Callithrix jacchus: one gene and its partners. The protein of the gene in region 4 interacts with the protein of the main gene of each other region in a pairwise test. Links are inferred from orthologs where the notes say so. Each region holds a gene or a part of one and is shown on either strand. Other genes may lie near its edges. The genes, in order: GABARAPL2, EHHADH, YES1, FUNDC1 and TUFM.

The links.
Region 1: the proteins of FUNDC1 (region 4) and GABARAPL2 interact in binary tests that used the Homo sapiens proteins (3 or more experiments, as listed by UniProt). The two-hybrid records come from large-scale screens. The link is inferred for Callithrix jacchus from reciprocal best matches to the Homo sapiens genes FUNDC1 and GABARAPL2.
Region 2: the proteins of FUNDC1 (region 4) and EHHADH interact in binary tests that used the Homo sapiens proteins (3 or more experiments, as listed by UniProt). The two-hybrid records come from large-scale screens. The link is inferred for Callithrix jacchus from reciprocal best matches to the Homo sapiens genes FUNDC1 and EHHADH.
Region 3: the proteins of FUNDC1 (region 4) and YES1 interact in binary tests that used the Homo sapiens proteins (3 or more experiments, as listed by UniProt). The two-hybrid records come from large-scale screens. The link is inferred for Callithrix jacchus from reciprocal best matches to the Homo sapiens genes FUNDC1 and YES1.
Region 5: the proteins of FUNDC1 (region 4) and TUFM interact in binary tests that used the Homo sapiens proteins (3 or more experiments, as listed by UniProt). The two-hybrid records come from large-scale screens. The link is inferred for Callithrix jacchus from reciprocal best matches to the Homo sapiens genes FUNDC1 and TUFM.

Annotation. Positions count from the first base shown.
Region 1 is NC_133521.1:32,970,560-32,976,225, reverse strand, and holds the start of GABARAPL2 (gamma-aminobutyric acid receptor-associated protein-like 2), read right to left. Parts: upstream 3,779-5,666; 5' UTR 3,670-3,778; coding exon 3,636-3,669; intron 3,308-3,635; coding exon 3,252-3,307; intron 2,135-3,251; coding exon 1,962-2,134; intron 1-1,961. UniProt on the Homo sapiens protein: Ubiquitin-like modifier involved in intra-Golgi traffic. Modulates intra-Golgi transport through coupling between NSF activity and SNAREs activation. It first stimulates the ATPase activity of NSF which in turn stimulates the association with GOSR1.
Region 2 is NC_133516.1:14,234,980-14,240,686, reverse strand, and holds the start of EHHADH (peroxisomal bifunctional enzyme), read left to right. Parts: upstream 1-1,976; 5' UTR 1,977-2,003; coding exon 2,004-2,074; intron 2,075-5,707. UniProt on the Homo sapiens protein: Peroxisomal trifunctional enzyme possessing 2-enoyl-CoA hydratase, 3-hydroxyacyl-CoA dehydrogenase, and delta 3, delta 2-enoyl-CoA isomerase activities. Catalyzes two of the four reactions of the long chain fatty acids peroxisomal beta-oxidation pathway.
Region 3 is NC_133514.1:63,183,623-63,189,050, reverse strand, and holds the start of YES1 (tyrosine-protein kinase Yes), read right to left. Parts: upstream 3,598-5,428; 5' UTR 3,430-3,597; intron 2,188-3,429; exon of another isoform or gene 2,081-2,187; intron 1-2,080. UniProt on the Homo sapiens protein: Non-receptor protein tyrosine kinase that is involved in the regulation of cell growth and survival, apoptosis, cell-cell adhesion, cytoskeleton remodeling, and differentiation.
Region 4 is NC_133524.1:45,510,716-45,516,311, reverse strand, and holds the start of FUNDC1 (FUN14 domain-containing protein 1), read left to right. Parts: upstream 1-2,244; 5' UTR 2,245-2,316; coding exon 2,317-2,344; intron 2,345-3,037; coding exon 3,038-3,194; intron 3,195-5,596. UniProt on the Homo sapiens protein: Integral mitochondrial outer-membrane protein that mediates the formation of mitochondria-associated endoplasmic reticulum membranes (MAMs).
Region 5 is NC_133513.1:29,105,650-29,111,088, forward strand, and holds TUFM (elongation factor Tu, mitochondrial), read left to right. Parts: upstream 1-1,632; 5' UTR 1,633-1,711; coding exon 1,712-1,763; intron 1,764-1,874; coding exon 1,875-2,069; intron 2,070-2,563; coding exon 2,564-2,730; intron 2,731-2,985; coding exon 2,986-3,090; intron 3,091-3,178; coding exon 3,179-3,343; intron 3,344-3,489; coding exon 3,490-3,622; intron 3,623-3,706; coding exon 3,707-3,811; intron 3,812-3,940; coding exon 3,941-4,092; intron 4,093-4,185; coding exon 4,186-4,305; intron 4,306-4,877; coding exon 4,878-5,051; 3' UTR 5,052-5,225; downstream 5,226-5,439. UniProt on the Homo sapiens protein: GTP hydrolase that promotes the GTP-dependent binding of aminoacyl-tRNA to the A-site of ribosomes during protein biosynthesis. Also plays a role in the regulation of autophagy and innate immunity.

The DNA of each region.
Region 1 (5,666 bases), on a different chromosome or scaffold from region 4:
ACTCCAACCTGGGCAACAGTGAGACTCCGTCTCAGAAAAACAGAATGGTTTTTGAGAATAAAACCCCAGAATGAACAGTTGCATTAAGTGTAAGGAGACAAGTCATTAACTGGGGCCAAAGGAGCTGATGGGCTGGGCAAAAGGGCCCTGGCTGGGGACTCTAAATCCTGAAGGGTGAGGATTTGGATTTCTGGTTACTCCGACCTAAAATCCTAACTACAGTTACTAGTGTAATCTGCTTTAAGGTTCTCGCCACACTGGAAAGGCAAATGGGACTTGGAGAGAAAATGGCCTTGAAAAAAAAAGGAGAAAAAAAAGAAAATGGCCTTGAAACAGTCTCTGCTGCCCTGAAAAATCATTTTTAATTTCCAATTCTATTTATATCTCAGGGAAAATGGGGGAGGGGACAGTTGATAAGACTGTAGTCATTTTAATTGCTAGATTACTGTGGAGCCATCAGAGTAATCATAAGGTCTCCAGAAGCCTGCTTCATTTCCTTTGAGAAGAACCAGAGAATCAGAATTGAGGAAAATAAACTTAATGCCATAGGTCCTAGTCACTTACTTCCACTAAGCGACCACCTCTGGGAAGGAGAAAACACAGGGTCACCAAGGCTCTGCAGAAATTGCAGATGGTATAAAAGATTACTTCCCCAGTCACCTTAAGGAAAGCCCAGGGTAACTATGAATGCCCAAGGCTTCCTCCTCTCGTGAAGATAGCCCTGAGGCCTGGGAAGGAAGGTTGGAAGAGCCCCATGGATGACAAAATCACCTCAAGCAACACCACAGCTTCCAGAGCTACAGCTGCAGCAGACCAATGGTGTCCAGTGGGCAGGCCCTGGGCTATCTCCTCAGGTTGGACACTGGCCTTAGGGAAGGAGCTTCCATTTCTCCCCTGCCTTTCTACCAGACACCAGGAAGTGGAGGTGGTAGAGACTGGGAAACAGGTAATCAGACCAAAAAATAGCCAGAGCTTTCCACCTTTAACAGAAATAAAGTCTGGAATTTGGCACGGGCCTCTTAGGAAGTCTTCAAGGATTTTCAACAGGAACCTATCTGGGCAACATTGGGCTAGTTCCCAGGGCTTCTGAAAGCCTTCACTTTTAGAAGTATTACTTCTGGGGGTGGTAAATGAAACCTACTTTGGGTCACTAAGGTAAGATGTGGCCAGGAACTCACACTCAGGGGAGAGGTGAGGGCCAGAATCTGGATCAGAGCCTAGAACTACCCACTCAGTAACAGGAAAGGACTGACCAGGAGCTTAGACGGAGCCTGTCCATTTTCCTCATTCCAGAGGGGACTAAAGCTGGGCTGTCAAATACACAGAAAATGGAAATTCTAATGCCCCTGCCTACATTCGGGCTGCAAGTTACACTCCCAAAGACTGCTTCCAGGCAGCACCATAGTCTGACAGTCAAAGCAGGTGCTACCAAGGAAGGTTTAAGTCTGTAAAGAGACTTCAGAGCCCTTTACTGTGCTGCAGTCATTTTGTCAGACTTGAGGATCAGACAGCTATAGACTCTTACAATGGCAGAGAGCTGACGAAGTTTGGGAGCACGCAAACCGCTTGATTAACTGAGTAAGCCTCAGCAGAACCCACAGGTTCCCAGTGGAGGAGAGTGGCCAGACTGTCTTCAGGGAAGAAAACCTCATTTCAGGCATCAGTTCTACCTATGGCTTAAGCCTAAATAAGTCCTCAATGTTTTAAAAGATTCTTGGAGGTCTCAGGCTGAGTTTCATCCCTTTTTTAGAAGTCCAGGCCTTGTTCTATTTTCCGAATCTAAAATGCACCCTTATGTATTGCAGCCGTTATTTTCCTGGAGCCCCTGATGTCAGGGAGCACAAAATCCAGATTTCTAGTCAGAACCCCCAAGAGTTTTCAGACCTCCAAAGTTTTTGAGTTCTCTAAGCAGCCAACCAGATGTCTAACACCAGAGGACCCATCTAGTAAACACCTCTCACCTGGACTGTGGGACTGTCTTATCCACAAACAGGAAGATCGCCTTTTCAGAAGGAAGCTGGATCCTTTTCCTGATGATCCACATGAACTGAGCCACAGTGATATCAGATGGAACCAAGTACTTCCGTTTGTCAATGTCAACAATCTGAGAGCCTGAGACCTTTTCCACAATCACCTGGGAAAATAAAGAGAGGTCAGGACTGGGTTTCTAAAGCCAGGCTCTGGCCTCAAGGCTGAGGAGCTGAGGAACAGAGTGTGGGCAAGGAGGTGGGTGGGAAACTGCATAGCAGGAGAAAATATGTCTTTGGCTTAATAACCACATGCTCTGGAGGTTAAGAATTGATATAAATGGGTTATAGGGAAACGGTAAGTGCTTTTCTGTGGTCAGTTATGTAAGAAAAATGCAGCCCTTACTACTAAGCTTTTCCACATTTTATCTGGGCAGACCTAAGAATATGTGGGGATCCACATCCATAGCCCATTACTCCAGGACCCCAGAATGGATCCCCTTCACACTACAGGAAACACTACTGTGTTCCCAAGGAACACAGGAGACAAGAACAGATGGACTAATGGGAATGCCTGGAATTTCAGCCAGCCAAGAACCAAGCTCTTCATTTGGCCTGTTGCTCTTCTCTGAACAAGTTTCAAATCCGTCCCTCCTTCCCCCAACGGAATTATTCACAAGCAAAGAGCTACAATAACAGGCCTTAATGTCCATTAAAAATTAACAAGAATTACAAAACTATCTCCCCAAACATGGAAAAAATATATTTACTACTGACTAGGAAGAAAGCATAACAGAAAAGGGTTTTCAGCGGCTTCTCACATTGTTTTGGTCAGGCAGGGATGACAGGGTCAAGGTGAGGCAACGGAGCCAGAATTTGGGTAAAGATGGAGGCTCCAAGTAAAAGGTGAAGGTCCTGAGACTCAAGTACCACTTCCAAGACCAAAGTGACAGTCTCCCTCCACCACCGTTCCCAAAAGTGGCAGTGACCTGTTGCCCTGTCCTAGAACATCGTTCCTTACATAATTGGCCAGGGAGCCCCGAGGCTGCAGACAGCTCTCGCTGGCCTAGATCCGGAGATTCAGCACTGAGGCACCCTGAACAGCACCAGCCCGAGCCCCTCACGCCCCGGCCCTGGGCGGCCTCATCGCAGTCTGGCCCGTCCTCTACTACAACTGGGAATGGAACCTCAACTTGTCAACTGTTGAATGGCCTAGGGCCTATCACGGCTCCCAGATGACAGAGGTGACAGCGAGGTGAGGGGGCGGAGAGTCCAATCACTCACCGGAACCCGGTCAGGATATTTCGCTCGGATCTTCGCGGACTCCACGCATCTGTGTTCTGTGGCAGAAACAAACAGGGCTGACGGCCGCGCCTGCCCACAGGTCGGTTCCGGGCCCTCGGCCCTCCTCCTCCTGCGCCTTGCGCACAGCCCAGGCCCTCGTTCCGGCGTCCCCACGGCCGCGGTCCTGTCCCCTAGCTCCCAGGGGGGTCCGCGGAGAGTGACGCGGGGTCGAGGGACGGCTGCTCGTGGCACCGGAGCCTTGGCGGCTCGAGCCCGGAGCGCGGCATACGTCCTGCTTCACCCGGCCCAGGGCCGCCCGAGTGGGGGAGGGGGCCCACCTGCCGCCGCGGCCCCCCGCGGCCGGTCCGATGGCCAAGTGCTTACCCAAAGAGTGGTCCTCCTTGAACATCCACTTCATGGCGGCGGCGGGGAGGGGATGGAACCGGCTCTCGGAGCCGTGGAACTCGGCGTACCGACCACAACAACAACGGCGGCGGCGGTAGCAGCGACGGAGGCGACTACACGGCAGGCGGGACTTCCGGCTGCTGGAGCCTAGCAACCGGTCAGGGGCGGGGCTTCCGGCGCCACTGGCCAGGAAGCTATGCCAAGGGGCGGGGCCGCACGTAGTCACGGAGGGCTCCTTCTGGGGGCTACTAGGCTGCGGAGGCGGTGAAGTTGGTTACGGGGGCGTCTGTGAGCAATATCGGCGACCCCAGGAAGAAATGTTCGGGGAACTGGTGACAGGAGTGGGGTCTCGGGAGTGTTTGTGGCGGGAAGCGTCTGGCTGATAGTGTATGGCTCTGAGGGCTCTTTGGGGGTGTGGCTGATAGTTGAGGGCTCTTAGAGCGTTTATAGGGGAGGTCTGAATAGGGAATTGGTGACAAGAACGGTCTTTGGGAGTAAGAATGACTTAAGGGGAGTCTCTAGTGCTTGGCGATGACAAGGGAGCTGTTTTGGGCGTTGACAGTTTGGGGGTTATTGCTCGGAGTGGTGACAGGGTGGGGGCACAGTATGGGAGGGGTGGTGTTTGAGGACACTGTGTAGGAAGCAGCACTGAGGACAACCTGGACGTCCAGTATTAGGGACAGCGGTAATAGGTTGCCTTGGACCTAGAAATTGAATTTAAACAAATCCCATTTTCTTCCCTTATTCGTGAATCTATTTGAATAAACATTTACGAAATGCACATTCGAGGTAGGACGTGGTGGCTCCCGCCAGTAATCCCAACACTTTGGGAAGCCGAGGCAGGAGGATCCCCTGAGGTCAGGAGTTCGAGACCAGACTGGCCAACAGGGTAAAACCCCATTTCTACTAAAAATACAAAAATTAGCCAGGCATGGTGGCACACACCTGTAGTCCCACCTCCTTGGGAGGCTGTGGCTGGAGAATCGTTTGAACCCGGGAAGCGGAGGTTGCAGTGAGCCAAGATGGCCTGGGTGGGAACAAGACTCTGTCTCAAAAACAAACAGACAAACAAATGCACATTTGAAGAGTATAACATAACTGATCACAGACCCTTTAACCTTAACTGGCAGAGGAGTTAGAGGTGACAGTCAGGCTTGGAGAATTCCCCTGAGAGCTGGTCATGAGATGGGTTTCCTTGTTTGGCTGTGGGAGTGGTTTAGCAGTCACAGCCCAAGCTGTGTGTGTCACCTGCCCAGACATATGCCTTGAGGTTCTCCAGCCAGTGATGTAATGCCTTTCTTCCAAGCAGAGTCATCAAGGCAGTCTGGTCTAGGTCACCATCTGTTTATAAGCTGCTGAGCACGTAGCAAGAATATTCACTTAATTTGGGCACATGAACCCTGCCACATGCTTGTGATTCTGATGCACCTGTAAAGCCTGTATGTTTGAACATGCTAGTTCATCATTTCCTACACTGGAAATTCCCAATTGATGCTGTGGAATCTAGCTTCATTCTAAAAGTATTTTTGTTATTTTAAGACTGTGTGTCTGACCAATCAGAATAGGTTTTATGTTTGTTTGTTCCTTTGTCTTCGTTTTTGTTTTTTGAGGCAGGCCCTCGATTTGTTGCCCAGACTGGAGTGCAGTGGTGTCATCTCGACTCACTGCAACTCTGCCTCCCGGGTTCAAGCGATTCTCTCCTGCCTTAGCCTCCTGAGTAGCTGGGACTACAGGCATGCACGACCCCTCCCAGCTAGTTTTTGTATTTTTGGTAGAGATGGGGTTTTGCCAGGTTGGTCTCCAACTTTGTACCTTAAGTGATTTGCCTGCCTCGACCTCCCAAAGTCCCAGAGTACTGGGCGTGAGCCACTGCACCTGTTTGTTTGGTTTTTGTTCGGTTGGTTGGTTAGGTGGGTTTTGGGGTTTTTTGTTTGTTGGTTGGTTTTGTTTTTGTCTTTTTTGAGACGGAGTCTCCCTCTGTCACCCAGGCTAGAGTGCAGTGGCTTGATC
Region 2 (5,707 bases), on a different chromosome or scaffold from region 4:
GCATGAGAATGTAAATTTTTATAAACATTTAACAGGCTTGCTAAAATCAAATTTCAGCCTCAAAAATTGTCTTTTCTGACCTCTAACTTTGAGATGCTACAGCAGGCTCGTGAACTATCCAAAAAAGGGGTAAACAGGATTATTTGACATGTTTAGTTACATGGGAAGCATTATCAAAATAAAAAATAATATGTAATCATCTTCAGCTTATATTTTAGTGAATGATATTAATATGTGTTCCAAAATTGTAGGGGATTTTGGTCAAAATGGCGAGAACCTGGACACCCTCCACCAGTAACAGTTTCACTAGTTGTGTGTTATTGTAAGACAAATAAAAGTGAGGTTGAGAAAGGAGAACAGGGCTTGGAACCAGGGAACCTAAGGAACTTCTTAGAACTAAATCAAATGGAAACACTTCAGCTATGACAGGAAATATCCTCTTCACTCACATAGGATGTACACTGAGTAAATGACTTTGTAATTTTACTTCATCCTCTTCATTTACGTAGGGCATACACCCAGTAACCAATGGGAAACCCCTAGAGGGTATTGAAACCCCAGAAAATTCTGTAACAAGGGCCCTTGAGCCCCTTTCTCAGGCCCACTCCCACCCTGTAAAGTGTCTTTTCATTTTCAGTAAATCTCTGCTTCTGTTGCTTTGTTCTTTCCTGGCTTTGTTTGTGTGTTCCATCCAGTTCTTTGTTCAAAATGTCAAAAACCTGGCCAACTTGCAGTCCAGACCCTTCTCCAGTACACGACATTATGTAAGTATTTGGTTGATGTTAGTGTGATCACTGGATAGGTTCTTCCTGCCTGCTTCACAAATAAAATCAATTCGAGGAGACCTCGGCATTGCAGTGAAGAAAGAGTTTAATTGATGTGAGGCTGGCCAGGCCATGTGGGAGATGGAGTTATTACTCAAATCAGTCTCATCCAAGGCTAGTAGCTTAGGGGTTTTTCAAAGGCAGTTTGGTGGGCAGGAGCTAGGTTATGGGAAGTGCTGACTGGCTGGGTTGGAGACGAACTCCTAGGGGGTCAAAGGAAGCTGCCTCTTGTACTGACTTGTGTGTGGGCAGGGCCACAGGAGCAGTTGACTGGTCCAGGAGGAGCCATCAGTGTCAGGCATGCAAAAAATCTGAAACGATATCTCAAAGGGCCAAACTTAGGTTCTACAATAGTAATGTTATCTGCAGGAGTAAATGGGGAAGTTGTCTATCTGGTGGCCTCCGGAATAATGGCTGGCAATGGTCTATGTCTACACCTTAACAAACAGAAGTCAGGCTCTGCTATCCTCCTAGCCTGGTGGTCTCTCATTTAGCTTTACAAAGGCAGTTGAGTTTTGGGAAAGGGCCATTATCATTTAAACTATAAACTAAGTGTCTCCCAAAGTTAACTTAGCCCAAGCTCAGGAATAATTAAGGGTAGCTAAAGGCAAGATAGGGGTTGGTTAAATCAGATCTCTCCCACTGTCATAATTTTCTCACTGTTAGAATTTTTGCGAAGTCTGTTTCATCAGTACCCTACTCATTTAGGTGAAATAAACAATGGGTATTTTATGTGTTCCGATGAGTATCAGTATCACATAACTGTCAGGGCCCCAGGTATCTGTCCCTGTTCAGAAGGATCATGAAGATGAATACTGCGATGCGGACAGCTTGCCCGACTCAGTGAACTCAGAACTTGTCCTCAGTAGCCGGCTCCTGTGGGCCAGGGATTGCAAACTTCGACTTGCCGGCAGTGACACCTGTTTTCCATCATTCTCCTTGCGGTACTTTGTAGCAGGAGCAGCGTGGGAGTCAACAAAGAGAAAGCACAAGCGTCTGTGGAGCGCGGGGTGGAGTCTCGGGAGAGGAGGACCTGGGTGGGAAGAGGCGCGGCAGGAGGCGGTGCCCCGGCTCGCATTGGCTAAGCCCGCGTCCCTCCCCTCGGGGCTGCTGGCGCGCCCGGAAAAGTGGCTTCGCCTGAAGGCGAGAGGCAGAGGTACCCTCGGTGACAGAGGAAACATGGCCGAGTATACGCGGCACAACGCCTTGGCGCTGATCCGCTTCCGAAACCCGCCGGTCAACGTGATCAGGTAACCGGCTCCGTCGCCTCCAGCCCTGGGACCGTGGGGGCCTTATCCGCCCGCGGCTCTGGAGGCTTTGACTGTCCCCGGCTGGTTTAAACGGAGAAAGACACTGACAGTTGAGCAACTGGTATATGCCAGGAGCCTGCCTGCTTTCCCTCCTTCCTTCCTTCCCTCCCTCCCTCTCTCCTTTCTTTCTCTCTCTCCTTACTTCCCTCCTTTCCTCCCCGCCTCCCTCCCTCCTTCCTTCCCTCGCTCCCTCTCTCACTTTCTCTTTCCTTCCTTCTTTCCCTCCTTCCCTCCCTCTTTCTCTCATCTCTCTCTCTCTCCCCTTCCTTCCTTCCCTCCCTCCTTCCCTCCTTGCTTCCTTCCTTCCTTCTTTCCTTCACTCCCTCTCTTCTTTCTTTCTCTCTCTCCTTCCTTCCCTCCCTCTTTCTCTCCTTTCTCTCTCTCTCTCTTTCTTTCCTTCTCCTAGATTAGCTTGGTTAATCTTTGCAGAGAACTCTCGTCCCCATTTTCCTGGTAAGGAAACAGAGGCTGAGACACATGCTAACTTAGGGAGCTGGCGTTGCCCTGTCCGTCCTGGGAACCCTTCTGCTTACTTGCAGCTTTGGCGTCTCTAATGCAAAGGTCTTAACTTAGTTGCATTTTGGACTTTGATCCAGCCTCACTCCCCAACTTTGAGTCCAGGCTGCCCTTACCATGTTTGGCTAAAAGCTTTAGGAATTGGGCAATAAAATGTTTTAACATTAAAAAAAAAAAATGAAGTCCCACTAATGCCAAGGTAGTGATTAAAGCAGAATTGTGCCCTGACTCACAAACGCAAAATTATTTCTCCTGATTTGTTTAAACCTCAAGACTGGTGCTTCCGAGGAAGACTCACATCCAACTAAGCCTGTGTACCAGCAGTTTCTGAAAAACTGCACCTTGTCTTCTTTTTCTCACTGGGGAGTACTTGCCGTGTGTACTGCACTTAAAACATTACTTTAAAAAGTGAGATCAGCCTGGCATGGTGGCTCATGCCTGTAATCCTTGCACTTTGGGAGGCTGAGGCGGGTGGATCACCTAAGGTCAGTAGTCCGAGACCAGCCTGGCCAACATGGTGAAACATCATCTTCACTAAAGATACAAAAATTAGCTGGATGTGGCGGTGCATGCCTATGGTCCCAGCTACTTGGGGCTGGGACTATAGGCTGAAGCAGGAGAATAGCTTGAACCCAGGAAGCAGAGGTTGCAGTGAGCAGAGATCCTGCGCTAATGCACTCTAGCGTGGGCGACAAAAGTGAGACTCCGCCTCAAAAAAAAAAGTGAGATCAGTGTTGTCGTTTTGAATAGTAATGAATTTATTTGGTCCTTCTGCATCTCTTTAAAAAAGTAGTTATACATCAGCCTTGAAAAAAGAATTACCTATCTACAGGGAATAGGATTAGTGGAAATTATAATTTACCAAGAATATATATGGCATAGAGAGAAATGTCTTTGGTCAAAATTCTTATGTGCTGTTGGAGCAAAAAGATTGAAATGAGAAGATCTGCTGATTTTAATAGAATTTAAAAATCTTACTGTCATCAGATTTATCATTAGAATTTTTATTTCGGTATGATTTATTGCATTTAGTAATATGCCAAAAAAATGCAGCACTAAAATCACATAAGGATGACATGTCTACTAACTTGGCATTCCCAGAATAAAAAGCAAAATATCTGTTATGTTGATTTTAACAAAGAAAAATGTAAGTAATATGATTACATGTCCATTTTGGACTGGTCTGTATACTGATTAGAATTGCTAGATGTTAGGACCTTAGGGGGAAAGTTCCATCCTCTAACACCCATGACTAGGCATATTTTCTGGCAACTGTTTTAAATGCTTCTGGAATTTAACCTGTTCTCCCTGCCCACCCATGCCACCACCTGTGCCACCCCCATCCCTTTTTGCAGGAGAAATGTTAGTGTCTACCTCATAAAGTTATAAAGTTTAAATCAGCTGGAAATTGTAAACTGGCATTTAATGGATGTCAGCTATCATTCGTATTAGTCAGAAGACCTATTCAAGCCCTTACCAACAGGCCTTGCTACCCAGGCTCCACTTCAGTTTCATCAGGAAGATTTTCTCCATTTGGAAATAAGGACTTCTCTGCCCTTTTTCATCTGTTTTTTGAACTTTTTTTTAAAGTGGAAATGTACATCCTTGCAGTTCCTCAAGTTTAACAGATTCCTCAATTTTTTTATTTCACTTTTCTTTCCTTCCTCCCTTGCTTCCTTTCTCCTTCCTATTTCTAATTCTATATGGGAAGTCATCTCTTCCCAGCTCATTGAGAGATTCTTACTTGAGTATACACACATACACACACACAAACACACAAACATGTATATACATATATAAATTTTTCCCCCTGAAAAAATAGTTTAAATCCTTCATTGCTAGTTTAGCCAGCCATGTTTGCTTCCATTCAGATAAACACCAGCCCTCTTTATACATGTAGGACATGCCTGATTAATAGGCTGTCTCCCAGGACAGTGGCTTTCACACTTTTGCTTTAAGCTTATGTTTTTACATAGCAATTCAAGACACACTTACATACAAACGCGTAACAGAAAACAAAGTTTCCTAAAACAAAACCTATCCTTACATGGTATATTGTTTGATATATTCTATTTTCTTTTCTCTTTCTTTTTTTTTTTTTTTTGAGATAGAGTCTTGCTCTGTCGCCAGGCTGGAGTGCAGTGATGCAGTCTTGGCATGCTGCAACCTCCACCTCCTGGGTTCAAGCGATTCTCCTGCCTCAGCCTCCTGAGTAGCTGGGATTACAGGTGCCCACCACCATGCCCAGCTAATTGTTTTGTTTTTTTTTTTTGAGACAGAGTTTCACTCTTTTACCCAGGCTGGAGTGCAGTGGGGCAATCTCAGCTCACTGCAACCGCCGCCTTCAGGTTTTCAAGCAATTCTCTTGCCTCAGCCTCCCAAGTAGCTGAGACTAAAGGCACGCACCACCACACCCAGTGTTTTTTTTTTTTTTTAATTTTAGTAGAGATGGGGTTTCACCATGTTGGCCAGGATAGTTCAGTCTCCTGATCTCATGATCCTCCTGCCTCAGGCTCCCAAAGTGCTGGGATTACAGGCATGAACCACTGCACCCAGTGGATATATTCTATTTTCTCTTCCTTTTCTTTAAAAAAATCCTGGACACAAGCCACAAAATTGATTTGATGACCTTTGGTTTAGAAAAAAAAAACTGTCTATGAAAAGAAAGAAATTCTATAGTCAAAGAAGTTGAAGAGCTTTGGTCATGAAGCACTGTCTATACTCCAGACTCTCTTCATGCCTGACAGTATTAACAGGAGAAAATAATTTTCTAACTTCTCTGGCCTTTCCCTTACTATGACTCTGTCAGCTTGAATCTAGTAAAGTGTGTATCTGTTAGAGCTATTTTCATTTTTTTCCTGTTTTTGATATTTGTAAAATTATGAACATAAAAAAGGAAGGATTGGTTGAAATGGGAAAAGCAGAAAGCAGGTTCATTCTCATCAGTGGCACTGATTGAGCTAAATTTGGCTAGTTTCATAGGCATCGTTTATTCAGAAGGAATTGTATGACTTCCAGACTTCTTGATATTATATAGTGGTTCTGAATCTGCTTTTC
Region 3 (5,428 bases), on a different chromosome or scaffold from region 4:
TTACATAAAGCAAATAAAATAGCATGACCCAATGATTCTTTGCATTTCTGAAGCTCCAACACCATTTGTAATTTGCTTTCTTTTGAACCAAAACATATCCATCCTTCATTCAGGTGCTATAAATCTTCATAAACTTTAAACAAAAATTTATTTTATGCTGAAATTTTATGGCATTCTTAAGAATATAAAAACTAAGGCCAAAATTACTGATCGAAAGAATTACTGTTCTAGAAAACTGAAAATAGTTTTGAGTTTTGTCATGTAATTTTCAGAAAAACAGAGTATTTGATAACAAAACAGTATCCATTAGTTCAATAAACATTTTGATTACCTTCTACTGGTTATTTACAAAATATAAGCCAAAGCAGATTTTAATTTTGTAAAACCTGTGTCTGTCAAAAAATTAACTTATTAAAAAAAAGCAAGTAGAAATTTAGAAGATTTTTCCAAAAATTCTCTAATTACTGTACATTTGGGAGTATTTGACATTTTGTTTCTGTTTTTTATTTTGTTATACTTGTTGAGACAGAGTCTCACTCTGTTGACCAGGCTGCAGCGCAGTGGCACTACTATTTCAGCTCACTGCAACCTCTGTCTCCCAGGTTTGAGCCGTTCTCGTGCCTCAGCCTCCCAGGTAGCTGGGATTACAAGGGGGCACCACCACACCCAGAAAGTTTTTGTACTTTTGTGTTTTTGTTTTTGTTTTGAGACAGAGTGTTGCTCTGTCACCCAGGCCGGAGTACACACTGCAACCTCCTCCGTCTCCTGGGTTCAAGCAATTCTCCTGCCTCAGCCTCCCAAGTAGCTGGGAATACAGGCGCTCACCACCACGTTCGGCTAATTTTTGGATTTTTGTATTATTATTATTTTTTTTTTGAGATGGAGTTTCCCTCTGCAGCCCAGGCTGGAGTGCAATGGCGCAATCTTGGCTCACTGCAACCTCCGCCTCCTGGGTCTCGGTTCAAGCAATTCTACCTCAGCCTCCCAAGTAGCCGGGATTACAGGCACAAGCCACCAAGCCCAGCTAATTTTTGTATGTTTTAGTAGAGACGGAGTTTCACCATGTTGGCCAGTCTGGTCTTGAACTCCTGACCTCGTGATCCGCCCGCCTTGGCCTCCCACAGTGCTGGGATTACAGGTGTGAGCCACCATGCCCAGCCTAACGTTTTCAAAGTAGTTACATATACTAGTTGGTATATGACAACTATGATTTAATAAATTTAATCCTATTGGCAGAGGATAGCCTAGGTGGTGTTCTAAAGTTAGTCACCAAATATATTCTTAAACAAAGCACCTTATTTGTTTTTTTTTTAGTTTTATTATCCAAGTTTGGGTGACACCAGAGTTTAGCATCACTTAAATTTTTTTTTGAATTAGTTTTTTTTCTTACTACAATGCTAATAGAGTAAGTGATGCCTACACTGATTTTGTAAAGAAAAACTACCCATAGTAATAAATTATTTACTGCCTAACATAATGCAAATTTCAACTTTGAATAAGTCTTACACCATGGGTTGGTAGTATTTCACTTATACAGGGTTACTTCTTTCCTTTTAGCACATTCATTCTTTTATCATTACATACCGTGGAGGAATTTTACTCGCATAGACATTTTTCAGCTTGTGAATTTCCCGAACACACACACACACACACACACACACACACACACACAGAGCCCATGTATTATTATACTTTGACCATAAGACAAATTCCACCTATGCCAAGAAGACAGGTCAAAGCTGTATTTTCACTTTCAGATGAACAGAAAGGAATCAATTTTGTGGTTTATGAAGTCAGCAAAACCTAACTGCAAAATTAAAGCTATTATAACATTACGGTGGTTACAGCAGAGTACATATTTTAAGAGCCCTTTTATCTTTTATCCTGGAAACAGGGATATAAACTGTTTTGTTTTCAGATCAAAGGCAATTGTCTTTTTCAAATGTAGAGCCCTCTGAATAGTCAACCAGCATTTAAAATCTCCACTGACTTTTAGCTAGTCCAAAAACTAAAATACAATTTAACTTCCTTTTCTTACATGTCAACTGTAGCAGGGGTCTTATATTTATAAAGAAACAAAGTGCTCGCTTCGGCAGCACATATACTAAAATTGGAACGATACAGAGAAGATTAGCATGGCCCCTGAGCAAGGATGACACGCAAATTTGTGAAGCGTTCCATATTTTTTTAATTTAAAAAAATAAAAAGAAAAAAACCATATATATGACTTGCTAAAGTAAAACTTTCTTAATGTACAATATATGAAAATCATGATGCAAACAAGATCCTTGGCTAATACAAGACACTCCTTTATTACCTGTCCATTCAAAATGCTTCCTGTCCACTGTGTGCCAAGCACTGTGATAGTTATCAGATTTACCACGCACTTTTCCTTAAATGCAGTCACGTGTATAGATTTAGTAATATTTTCCTTAGGCATAAAGACACTACAATCATATTATATATATATGTGAAATCAACTATGTGAAAACACACACCCGTAGAACGAATGTACATAAACGATATGGACATAAAATTGTGCTTCCACCAAAGACTTTTCATTATTTCCTTTAATAATTTATAAATTATTAGACTGTATGTTATTCCAAGCCTACATCAATTAATTATGCAGAAAATAATTCAACCAAATCCGAACTGTTAAGTCTTACTAGAAAACAGCACTAAAGTCCCTACACCAGACTTATTTTCAAAGAGCTTCCTAAAACAACTCTGCCCCATGCCCAAAAAAGTGAAAGCTGGAAGCAATTAAGAAGAAAAACACACTTTAAAACAAAATTTTCTTTAACACATGTGGACAGGGCACCGAACGCAATGGGAGGCGGTGTGGCAAGATTCTGTAGAAGTGGACGCTGAATAGTAAATTTCACAACCCCCAATCCAAAACAAAGGAAAACTTTAAACATGTTGCGGTTTTCAATCAAACCAAGTAAAGCCAGAGGCTCACCCACTCGCCCCACACACCCGCTCCTCTCCCCGCACAGCTGCTACCGCTGTTAGCCGACATACGGAACCCCAGCCTTTAGGACCGAAAGGGGCCGCTTCCCTCGCCCCTACTTCGGCCGGGCGGGCAAAAATAAACCTCGCCCCACGTCGCGGGGCGGTCCACACGACCCCAAAGACAAGGGGTGTGGAGTGTCCCCACGCCCCTGGGACCTCAGGTCGAACTTGGGCGGGACCCGGCAGGACTGGACGGGGCAGGGACCGAGTCAGGGGTCGAGCAGGTAGCGCGTGGAAGGAGACCAGCCCGCCGGGCGAGCCGGGGGAGGGGAGAAGTTTCTTCCTAACTTCCCGACTCTGGCCCGCGGGGGCGGAGAACCGCGGCGGCAGTGGCGGCTCCCGGCGCCGGGGCCTAGCGCTGTCCCTGCCGGGGTGGACCCCTCCGCCCGCAGGGCCCCACCGGGTCCTTACCTGTTTTATGGTCGCGCTCTCATGAGTCGCTGCTGCCGCAGCTCGGGGTGGCGGGCGGGGGCGGCGGACGGAGGCGAGGCCCGCGGGCCCTCTCCCTCCTCCACCTCCTCGTCCCGGGGCGTCCGGCGGCAGCAACGACGGCAGTGCCGGCCCGGGACGCGCTACTTCAGGAGGAGGGAGTTCCCGGGCTCCCCACCCGCCGGCCTCACTCTCCACCTCCTCCCCTCCTGGCCCCGCCCCCTCACTCCTCACGGGGGCGGGCGCGGGGCGGGGGCTGCGGCTACCTGCGCGCGCCGCAGCCGGCTCGCCGGAACTCGGGCCTCGGTGGCCCGGCTCCAGAGTTCCCAGCTTTCTGGCGCCTACGCCCCCCTCGCGTCCGCTCCACGGACTCCGGGCCGCTTTGCTGTGGTCAGATTAGGCAGCCAGTCCGTGTCATTTTTCCCGACCCAACATGGCGGCGGGGTCCGGGGCGGATATTCCGGGCGGTGCAGACTGAGGGGGCGTGAGGAGGAGGAGGCGCTTCCCCGCCGGGAGAGCAGGCCCGCGGCGCCCCTGCCCACCCGGGAACCCACCGACGCTCGGCTGCCACGGGGATTGAATGGGGCGCCCCTCTGCCTTTCTCTTTTCCTTGGCCCGGCTCTGCCTAGTACCCAGGGCTTTGGGGCTTGTTTTTGTGGGGAAGGACGGGGTTGAGTTTATTTGGTTGACTATTTGCTTCTCTGCACTAAGCTTCCGCACTCTTTGTCGTTAGTAGTAAAATCTCAGCCCAACCGCGTGAACCGGAGCGTTACTCACACCCTCATCACCATCCTGATCGCTGTCCAAAAAACGTTCATGTCTGGCCTCTTTCCGAGGCTGGGACCCTGTCCCTGCCCCCAGGAGCTTCCTGTTGACTGTAGGTCGAACCAGCCTTGCCGGGAGGGTAACCAAAGCTGAGTTGTGTTTGGCGACTATCCCAGTAATGGTGGCTTTGGCTTATGTTGGGACAGCATATTTCTATATGTTGCTGGCAGTAGACCAGTGAGGGAAGTGAGATAAGTATGGTCACCCTGCTCGACAATCGTGGGAACAGCGACCCCGAAACTGGAGGAGCAGCAGCTGGAATCCTATCCATCTGAATCCACACACCTTTCCTATGAGCCTTGTAGCCAATTGCGGAAGAAGGGGGAGGACCAGGAAGGATGGGGTGGGGGCGTAAAGATGAGGGACGGTTAATCAGGGTCCTCATGGAGCCTTGAGGCTCTTCTGCTGCAGTCACTTCTGCCTTGTCAAACTTTTCGAGTAACTTCCTCTCTGTATTTCCTCTTTGGTGGGTTATCACAATTATTGTGTGACTGTTGGTTTCCTTTGCGGTTTTTAGTGAAATTCAGAATCATCTTAAACAGATACGAAATAGTGCAATCTTATGTGTCAGTGTTCCGGTATTCTAGGAACTTAAGGAAATGCGTATAAGGGTTTGAAAACTTTTTCTTCAGCTCACTAAATGAACGAAAGGTAGGCACAGGCATTCAGAGGAACAAAAAGATACACATAATGTAGAACGATGCTGTATTTTCTTTTTTCTTTTTTTTTTTTTTTTTTTGAGATTGAGTCTCACTCTGTCGCCCAGGCAGGAGTGCAGTGGTGCGATCTCGGCTCACTGCAACCTCCGCCTCCTGGGTTCAAGTGATTCTCCTGCCTCAGCCTCCTTAATAGCTGCCATTACAGGCATGTTGCACCACGCCCAGCTTATATATCTATATATAGATAGTTTTTTTTGTTTTGTTTTTTTTTTAAGAGATGGAGTCTTGCTCTGACGCCTAGGCTGGAGTGCAGTGGCGCAATCTCGCAATCTCGGCTCACTGCAATTTCTGCCTCCCGGGTTCAGGTGATTCTCTTACCTCAGCCTCCCAAGTAGCTGGGAGTACAGGCATGAGCCACCACGCCCAGCTAATTTTCATATTTTTAGTAGAGACGGGGTTTCACCATGTTGGCCAGTTTGGTCTCGATCTCTCGACCT
Region 4 (5,596 bases):
GGTGGCTCATGCCTGTAATCCCAGCACTTTGGGAGGCCGAGATGGGCAGATTGCCTGAGCTCAGGAGTTCCAGACTAGCCTGGGCAACACAGTGAAACCAGGTCTCTACTAAAAATATTAAAAAATAGCTAGGCGTGGTGGTGTGGGCCTGTAGTCCCAGCTACTAGGGAGGCTGAGCCAGGAGAATCGCTTGAACCCGGGAGACGGAGGTTGCAGTGAGCCAAGATTATGAAACTGTACTCCAGCCTGGGTGACAGAGAGAGACTCTGTCTTGAAAAAAGAAAAAAAAATTATGTCCTTTTGCCAGGTTAGGAATTACAAGGCCCTTCTTTACCTCCTTTGGATTCCTGGCAGGAACTCAAGAGAGAGAGCTGGTAAACAGATTCCAATCTCAAGCAGCAGGGCATTAGAAAAATATTGGTCCCCTAGTGAGCCCTTGCGCCCTTAGAAAAGTATGGCTTGAAACAGGGTTTCTCTTATCTTTTACAAGCCTGTTTCCTCAAGCATGTGAATTCTGGTAGAGTGTTCAAAATACTCTTAAAAAATTATTCTGACAGTGTGCAAGTGATGGGCCTAAATTTAAAAACAATTATGAGACACTTCTTAAAAGGGTAAGGAAGACTTTGTTCATGACTATTGCAATAGGTGTCAAGACTATTGCAATATAGTCTGGCATGGTGGCTCATGTCTGTAATCCCAGCACTTTGGGAGGCAGAGGCAGGAAGACTGCTTGAGCCCAGAGGTTCAAGACCAGCCTGGGCAACACAGGGAGACCTAGTCTCCACAAAAAATAAAATTAGCCAGGAGTGGTGATGCATGGCATGGAGACCCAGCTACTCTGGAGGCTGAGGTGGGCGGATCTCTTGGGCCCAGGAGTTTGAGGGGCAGTGAGCCATGACTGCGCCACTGCACTTCAGCCTGGTGACAGAGCGATACCCTTTCTTGAAAAACAAAGTTATCACAATAGGGGTGAGTGATGGTTCTCAACTCTGAACACAGCAGGGAATTTATAGTAAATGATCAGAGTGAATGGATCAGTGGGGGGAAGATTACCACCAAGAGCGGACATGAAATGTAGGGGTATTCTTTTTTTTTTTTTTTTGAGATGGAGTTTCCCTCTTGTTGCCCAGGCTGGAGTGCAATGGTGTGATCTTGGCTAACTGCCTCCCAGGTTCAAGTGATTCTCCTGTCTCAGCCTCCCGAGTAGCTGGAATTACAGGCACGCTCCACCACACTTGGCTAAGTTTTGGTATTTTTAGTAGAGACAGGGTTTCACCATGTTGGCCAGGCTGCTCTAGAACTCCTCAAGTGATCCACCAACTTCGGCCTCCCAAAGTGCTGGGATTACAGGCGTGAGCCACCGCGCCAGGCCTTTTTTTTTTTAGGTGGAGTCTTGCTCTGTTGCCCAGGCTGGAGAGCAATGGTGTGATCTCAGCTCACTGCAACCTCTGTCTCCCGGGTTCAAGCGATTCTCCTGCCTCAGCTTCCTGAGTAGCTGGGATTACAGGCATGCGCCTCCACGCCTGGCTAATTTTGTATTTTTAGTAGAGATGGGGTTTCTTCATGTAGGTCAGGCTGGTTTCTAACTCCCGACCTCAGGTTTTCCGCTCGCCGGGGCCTCCCAAAGTGCTAGGATTACAGACGTGAGCCACCGATTTAACATAATTTTTGCTGGTGGCAAAGTGATCAGATATCAAGGGTGGGGTTGAAGAATTTGATCGGATATTGAAGATGATTCGATATTAAGGGTGTGGGAGTTCTCATTAAATTGACTTAACTGGATTCTCGCCACAAATGGACTAAGCAGGTCAAAGACGACCCAAGGAGGAGACCTAGTCAAAAAGAGCTCAGAGGAGCTTCCTCACTAAAGTTTGGTCGAGAGAGTCTTTGTCAATACCCAGCTGGCTTTCCCTTTGTACCACCATGTGGCGTCCTCCCTTCCCCCCATTCCTTCAGTCATAGGCTCTTTAAAACAAAATATTGAAATTCAAGTTATGGAAATTCTAGGAGGGGCGATCCCTCCCATTTCCCCTTTCCCCCTCCCTAGTTGCGGAAGACAACGGACTACAAATCCCCTACGCTCTCGCGGGGCTACGATCCGACTAGCCCTCCCCCGCATTCCGGAGTCTCGCGCCTGCGCAGAAGGCAGAAGGTCCTGCGCTGAGGGAAGGGGGCGGAGACGGGACTACGCGCCAGGAGTAGGAAGGGGAGGAAAAAAGAGACCATAGACTCCCATCCTGGCCTAGAGCGGCCCTTAAAGTGCCAGGGAGAGGAGGGCGGGCGGGGACCACTACAGAATTGGCCGCCGGCGGTATCATGGCGACCCGGAACCCCCCTCCCCAAGGTGAGCGGCCAGGGCCTGAAGTGGTATCTGGGACGTGGCTCACAGCTCTCGACCTTGCTCCCATGGCACCTCTTCCTTCCCCTGCCCTAGGATTCTTCGAGCTCTATTGTTTATTTTTAAGGCAGCCCCTTTGAGCACCACCTTCGAGTTAGACTTTTTCCTCCCCTCTCTGCGGAACTCAAGCGGAGAGCCACCACCCCCACCCCCAGCACAGCCCTACCTGCCTCCTGCCTTACCTTCACCGCTGGCCCATCATCTCCATCTTCAAATGTATTATTTTTCTTTTTTTAAACGTCTAGACTCTGAAGTGATTTCGCTGGGCTCCAGACTAGTTCTCAGAGGAGGACCCCTCCCCACCCCCACTCCTCCCACTGATGAAAATGGACCCTGCACTGACCTTGACCTTACTAAGGTTTGGAGTGGGGGTGACCCCTCACTACTGTGTGATTCTGAGTTGGCCCTGGCTTCGTGACCCCAGGCCAGTCCCTGGGCCTTTGGGAAAGCAGATGGGGGTCATTGTTGCAGGGCCCTTTACTCTTGAGGCGGTGGTCTCAGGAATTAAGTAAAGTCAGTAGTTTCCATCTGGGCATTTTTAGCTGTAGGCCAAAAGGAATGAGTTGTAACATATTTTTGAAAAGATTTCTGACTTTTGATTGACTCTACATTTATTTTTTCCATTTTGCTATTTTAAAGAATATGAAAGCGATGACGACTCTTACGAAGTGTTGGATTTAACTGAGTATGCAAGAAGACACCAGTGGTGGAATCGAGTGTTTGGCCACAGTTCGGGACCTATGGTAGAAAAATACTCAGTAGCTACCCAGATTGTAATGGGTGGCGTGACTGGCTGGTGAGAACAACGTCTTTTTCATTAAATTTCATTTGGGGGCCTGACACTGCTGTCCTTTCAAACATGGGTGAGAGTCACTGCACATTCAGTGGGTCTACACTGTTAATTCCAGAAGAGGCTTTTCTCTGAGTTAAAATTGATGCAGTCTACATTCCCAGACTCCCCGTTGGGTTTTGGTGATCCCCTCCCCCATGCCCACCACTGTTCTCTCCTCCCTCCTCACCCTTCTTTTGATTCTTTATATGCTTTCCCCATTCTCATGTTCAGCAAATGCCGTGGATCTGATTCAGTGATAGTAGATAGGAAGAAATATATGAGTTAATTAAATGTAAATTTTTACATTTCATTCAGTGCTAACTACTGAAAAAAACCTAAGAAACTCCCACGGTAGAACTGGCCTCTAGTATTGTCAGCGTTGTAGAGAGCAGTGTAAAAATGCTCTGCGCAAATTATTGGTGATGATACAGATAATTCTGGGTTTTTCTTTTGTGGGCTCGGTCAGATTATGATAACTCTTTGGAAAAGAGCTGTAGAACATTAGTTCTGTGTTGAAATTAAAGATCTGATTGCTTACTTTGTAATATTGTGGGGTCCATTAAGAAGTGGTTAATAAGCATCAGCCTGACCAGTTAACATTTCAGACCATGTGATAACACAATGGCTACTGTGACTCTAATTCTGTTCTTATGAAAAGACTAGCTAGATAACAAGGGGCAGAAACAAATTTCACCGTTTTGAAAATGTTCTTGACTGTAGAGAAATTTTGAAGTTAGTGAGGGTGCTTAACTTGGGCATAAGCATTTTTTCTTAGATTCGCATTTAAGTTCATCTTACATTGATTTAATGGAAATATTTACGTTTCCACTTGATAAGTATAACAACGAGTTTTTTGATTTGTGTTTTACATGCATTTTGGAATAATGACACGCTCCTCTATGCCTTTTTGCAAATGCCATTTTATGATAGAAATACTGATTGTGAAGATTCTGTGGTGCAGAGGTGCGGTATTTATTCATGATATGTGCTTATTAATGGTGCTACGGGAAAAAAGCCCGCAATAAAAAGAGATGCCTGTCAGGGCCTGGTCATTGAGATAATTCTCCATAGGCTGATTAGTTCCTCTAGCCCTGTAATTCAGGTTATGGCTCTCTGCTTAAATAAGCTCACAATTTGGTGCCAGAGGTGATTGGTTAATGTCAGTCAGTGCCTAAAGCCTAGTCTTAAAACAGACTAAAAAATAATTGAGAAATAGAATTACCAAGTCATTTCATGGTTTCTCCTTGGAGAGCAAACTCCTTGTAGAACAAGCCCCATCATTTGCAGAAGTTTGCTCAGAAAGGCTAGAGACAGAGCAGCAGGAAATAGGTTCATTTTAGTGACTGATGCCATCAAGCAATGGATGCACATGCTTGTGGAGCACAGTCCAAGGGGTATTGTGCCTGCTGCCTGCTTTTTCTGTTCCCTTTTCTGAGCCTTTGTTGCTGACTCCCCTATTGAGGGGCACATTCTTTATAGTAATACAATTGTCCCTCAGCGTAGGTTACCAAAATCTGCGGATTCTCAAGTCCCTGATATAAAATGGCATAGTATTTGCTTATAACCTACACACACTCTCGTATACTTTAAATCATCTCTTAATTACTTATAACACCTAATGCAATGTAAATAATGTAAATGCTATGCAAATAGTTATGTGGAATTTTTTTAATTTGTGTGATTTTTTTATTTTTGTTTTTTTGTCTTTTTTTAAGTTTTGTATCCCGATTGATTAAATTGTGGATGTAAAACCTAGCGAGGACACAGACACACACACACACACACACACACACACACACACACACACAGTGTTGGTCCAGGAGCTGTATAATAGAACTCTAATAATACAAGTGATTTGTTGCAATGACCTTATTCAGTGTAGTAAATTTTTGCAATTTTCTTAGGATGTAAAATTGATGTGATATTGTGGTGTCTATTAAGGAGGAACAGTTAATAGGCATTAACTTGACCAGGTAGCAATTTAGACCAATTCAAGACGTGAATAGGAGGCTGAGGAGATTTTATTTAGCTGCGGATAGCTGTAGGCTTTTGACCATGACAAAAAAATTAAAACTATTATCAGGATGGATGGTTGCTAGGAGAAATGGGAGGTGTCAAGACCAGTTAGAGGGCCCTTAGAATGGTCTGGAAGCAAGGTAATGATGACCTTGAGAATGGAAAGAAGACAGTCAAATCACATTTTGGAGATAAAGTATATAGAGCTGTGGAGGCCAGGAGTGGTGGCTCATGTCTGTAATCCTGGCACTTTGGGAGGCTAAGGCAAATCTTAGACATTTAGGGTAGATTACCTGAGGTCAGGAGTTCAAGACCAGCCTGGGCAACATTGTAAAACCCTGTCTCTACCA
Region 5 (5,439 bases), on a different chromosome or scaffold from region 4:
AAATGGGGGAAATAATATATCCTACCAACCAGGGTAGCACTCAGAGCACTGATTGTGAAACAATATGAATGCCTGCACATTATAAAGCTCTAGTTCAGAGTTTCCCAAACTCCTCTGAGTTTTCATCAAAAAAATGTTTTTACAGATGCGGTCTGATTCTCTGTCACTCAGAGTGGGGTGCACTGTCATAATCATACCTCACCGTAGCCCTGAACTCCTGAGCTCAGGAGATCCTTCTGCCTCAGCCTCCTGAGTAGCGGGGGCTACAGGTACATGCTACTGTTAGCATGCCTGGTTAATTAAAAAAAAAAAAAGATTGTAGCGATGCGGGGGGCAGGGGTGGAGTGTCTCCTAATCTGCCCAGGCTGGTCTTGAACTCCTGACTTCAAACGATCCTCCCACCTCAGCCTCCCAAAGTGCTGGGACTATAGGCATGAGCCACCGTGCCAAACGTTTTAGAAGGGTGTTGGTTATATACCTTCCCAGTATGTGCACAGAATCATAATCTCCAGGGGAGGAATTAGGGAATCTCTTTGAAACAAACACTGTCCACTGAGTCTCAGGATCTGATGAGTTCCGAAACATAAATCAGGGTTAAGCAGCCACAATTAACACTTCAGAGTGCCATGCGGAAGCTGCCATGAGATGATGGATGTGAAAGTCAAGGGTCATTGACTACCCCTGCACTCATTCATTCAATATTTACTGCATGCTCCACCCTGTTAGGTGCTGGGGCCACAGACGGAATAAAAGAGACTCAGGCTGCCCTTAAAGGCTCCCCTAGTTGGCTCCTCGTCCTTGGTGTCATCTGTAAAATTAGGTGGGTGGGGCGGCGCCCAACGGAACTCCTCCTTAGGCAGCTGAGTGGCCATAAGGATGGGCACCGAAGCTGTCTGTCTGGTGGGCTCTGGCCCTGTGAGGTCAAGCAGTACAGGGTCCCCGCAAGCTGCCTGACCTCACAGGGCCCCACCCTGACTACCACCCAGGACCACATCCGTGATTCCTACCCAGTTCATCTCCTTTCAGGGCCAGATGAAAGAATCGCCCTATGAAGTGGATACTACCATTCCAATTTTACAGATAAGAAAACAAAGTGTCAGCAGAGAGAGGGGTCACACTTCACCCCACCCGCGAAAGGCGTCCAGGACCTGGTCCTACCTCCAGCTGCGGCAGAGGTGGCCAGATGTCTCCCAAGACCCGCGTAGCGAGTCGTACTCCGGGGGACTCGTGGTCTCTCTCTGTCGGTCTCAGGAGATTCCTAGGCAGTGGGAGCCGCCGCTGCCTCCCGTAGCCTAAGCCCCTCCCTCGGATCCGGCCTAGCCCGCCAGACTCCCACCCTGGGCGCTTCCACAGCCCGCCGCCCCAGGAACTACCATGCCCATGAGCCTTCGCTGCGTCGGTGCTTTAGGGGCGCTCCCCAGTGCCCCCCGCGGCCTCCAAAGAGAACTACGTTGCCCATCAGCCCGTGAGGCCCGAATAGTGGAAACCCTCTACCTCATTCTTCGCCCCCGAGACACATGCCCCCTACATGACGTCTTCAGCCGCGCGCCAGAAGTCCGCGGAGACGGCCATAGACACTGGCGGGTAGAGGGGACCGGACTTGCCCTCCTGCCCTGTACTTCCGCCGGAAGTGCCTTCTAGCCGCAAGCGCCCTTCATCCGCTGCGCGCTCCGGCTGCTTGTCCCGGTTCCCCGGTTCCCGGGGCGCGTGTATGGCCACAATGGCGGCCGCCACCCTGCTGCGTGCGACGACCCGTTTCAGCGGTGAGGGGTCGGGGAGGGTGATGGCGGCCCAGGAACACATTGGGGGCGTGGTAGGTGGCTGGGTTTGGTCTGAGCCTCGTCCTGCCTGACTCCAAGCTTGGGTCCCGGCAGGTCTCGCCGCCAGCCCGACTTTCCTGCTGCAGGGTCTGTTGCGGCCGCTGAAGGCCCCGGCATTGTCCCTCTTGTGCCGCAGCTTGGCCTTGGAGGCCAAGAAGACTTACGTGCGCGACAAGCCACACGTGAATGTGGGCACCATTGGCCATGTGGACCACGGCAAGACAACGCTGACTGCAGCCATCACGAAGAGTGAGTGGGGTGGGCGCGTCTAGCAACGCCCTATCAACTGCTGGAACGTCGAGCCAGGGAGGCGAGACCAGCAGAGTGGAGGAGGAGTTTACTGTGGCCCCCAAGTTTACTGCTGGAGGAGTTTACTGTGGCCCCCAAGTTTACTGCTGGAGGAGTTTACTGTGGCCCCAAGAGCCCGAACTTATGCGGCGGGTGAATTGGGAGATGCAGGAGACAGATTTCCCCTGATCAGGAAGAACTTTGTGATCCTCCAGCGGCTTCTCTCTAGCCGTAGGGAATGCTCTGCAAGCAGAGTCTGTACTCTTCTAAAGAAGTCATAGGGCCGACCCTTAAGGCTCTCTTAACATTTCTTTCTGACCCATAGTTCTCTCTGCTGGAAGAGTTAGAGATTGGAGGAGGTTGTGTCTTAGGTGGGGAGAGTTCAGGGGTGTGGTCTAAGCTCTGCTTCTAGCACTGGAATTTTAGCTGAGAGGTGTATTCTCTTCCTCCTTTAGTTCTAGCCGAGGGAGGTGGGGCTAAGTTCAAGAAGTACGAGGAGATTGACAATGCCCCGGAGGAGCGAGCCCGGGGTATCACCATCAATGCGGCCCATGTGGAGTATAGCACTGCCGCCCGCCACTACGCCCACACAGACTGCCCGGGTCATGCAGATTATGTTAAGGTGAGGGTTGCAGGGGACACTGGAGACAGGGCCAGAAGCTGCCTCATTTCAGGATAAATCTTAGGCTTGTGGGGAGGGGGTTAAGATATTCAGTGTTTGGATATAAGATGGTAGGTTTGTGGGCATGGCCACTCAGAATGGGTGGTGGTGAGATGGCCAAGAAAGGGGGCCTCAATTTCTAAGTGCTACACTTGGCTGCATGGATGTGGACTGAAGAACTCGTTGAACCTGGTTGTTTCCTCTCCTCCTACCCAGAATATGATCACAGGCACCGCACCTCTTGATGGCTGCATCCTGGTGGTAGCAGCCAATGATGGCCCCATGCCCCAGACTCGAGAGCACTTACTGCTGGCCAGACAGGTACTCCAACCCTGAGTAGGGGTGCAAAGGGGGAGAATGGGTAGTTGGGCCCCTCCAGACACTGTCCCTGTCTCTCTGCCATCTACAGATTGGGGTGGAGCATGTGGTGGTGTATGTGAACAAGGCTGACGCTGTCCAGGACTCTGAGATGGTGGAGCTGGTGGAGCTGGAGATCCGGGAACTGCTCACTGAGTTTGGCTATAAAGGACAGGAGACCCCAGTCATCGTAGGCTCTGCTCTCTGTGCCCTTGAGGTGAAGGCCGGGTCAGGCAGAGTGGCTGCTGCAGAGAGTCAGGCTAGATGGTCAACCAGAGCTCTGCTCTGTGTCTGGGAAGTGGTTTTTGGTAATTGAGAGGAGCGGAATACGAATTTCAGAGTCCTGTCACTTCCCCTCAACAGGGTCGGGACCCTGAGTTAGGCCTGAAGTCTGTGCAGAAGCTTCTGGATGCTGTGGACACTTACATCCCCGTGCCCACCCGGGACCTGGAGAAGCCTTTCCTGATGCCCGTAGAGTCGGTGTTCTCCATCCCTGGTGAGGACTGTGCCTGCTCCTACACACTCTCTATAGCAGCAGCGTAGCTCTGGGTCCCTGATATCCTGTCCTGTTACTTCCCAGGCCGTGGCACTGTGGTGACAGGTACGCTAGAGCGTGGCATTTTAAAGAAGGGAGATGACTGTGAGCTCCTGGGACATAGCAAGAATATCCGCACTGTGGTGACAGGTACGGGAGGCCAGCCTGGGGAGCAGGGGCTGGCTGCAGGGTGGCCTTACCCCTGGCAGATCCCTTGTGCCTTCCCTCTGCCTCACACTCGCTTCCCTTCTCCCTTTTCCTTTTCCCCTTCCCTTCTAGGCATTGAGATGTTCCACAAGAACCTGGAGCGGGCCGAGGCCGGAGATAACCTCGGGGCCCTGGTCCGAGGCTTGAAGAGGGAGGATGTACGGCGGGGCCTGGTCATGGTCAAGCCGGGTTCCATCCAGGCGTGCCCCAAGGTGGAGGCCCAGGTGAGGGCTCCAGGTGATGGTGGGCAGGGCTGAGCCAAGCTGTCCCCAGCATTCCAGTCAAGCCCAGCTCACCCTCATTGCTCTCTTCTCCAGGTTTACATCCTCAGCAAGGAGGAAGGTGGCCGCCACAAGCCCTTTGTGTCCCACTACATGCCTATCATGTTCTCCATGACGTGGGACATGGCCTGTCGGGTTATCCTGCCCCCAGGGAAGGTATGGTGGGTGGGAGGAATGTAGGGTGGAGGGGGGACTTTTTATATCACCTTTGCTTCACTTAGTTCCAAAGACAGACTGTGACAATCCAAGTGGCTTTATTTCCTTGGGTGGAAAGGGGCTGCTTGTGCTGCTAGCCAACATAAGGGGCATGGCTCATGGACTTAGAGGTGGGGAGTCCTCATCCAGTATGCCGTAAGCTGAAGCAGGTTAAAAGCTTAGCTCTGCCAGCAGTTTACCCACAGAAAGATTTCCTAGGTGTCTTCTTTCTGAATTTCACTGTATGAAAGCTTAGGAAGTCCTGGGACCAGGAAACTGCATAACCACAACTTCCTAGACATTTTTTCTCGAGACCACACCTTGGGAGCATTCATCACTGGTCTCTTTCATGTTCTCCTGTCTCAATATGCTGTTTGCATCTGCCTGACAGCCTGGGATGGGTGAACTGTCCCCAGGCAGAACCTTCCCCTGCTGCATTTTCCCATGACTCTTAACCTCTGAGGTAGCCAACAAAATGTTAAGGAATGAAGGCACTCTGGAGGCCATGCATGATCCTTCTCTTCCCACTCTAGGAGCTTGCCATGCCCGGGGAGGACCTGAAGCTCAACCTAATCTTGCGGCAGCCAATGATCTTAGAGAAAGGCCAGCGTTTCACCCTTCGAGATGGCAACCGGACCATCGGCACGGGTCTAGTCACTGACACACCAGCCATGACTGAGGAGGAGAAGAACATCAAGTGGAGTTAAGTGTGCAGACCTCTGCTCAGGTTTCCTTGTGCTGGCTAGGGCTCCCTCCTGCTTCTGGTGGCCCCTCAGGGCACAGGCTGCAACCCAGCAGAGGGCAGCTAGATGGACACTTCCCCTAGTTGGAAGGGTTGGCCTGCCTGGTTTGGGAGGTCAATAAACTTCTGTGAATAGTAAGCCAGGCTGCATCCTGTGTCCTTTGTGTGAGTTGGAAATGATGGGGGAGGACAAAAAGGATGTCAAACCCCAGACAGGGAGAGCTTGTGAGATCCTAGAGCCATTTTAATGGAGAAATTGAGTCCAGTGAGCTTAGTGATTGCCTAGATGCAGTAGAATGCCATTGAATAGCCTCCTGGGAAATACTGGGAAAGATATTCTATCATTCTGGAGC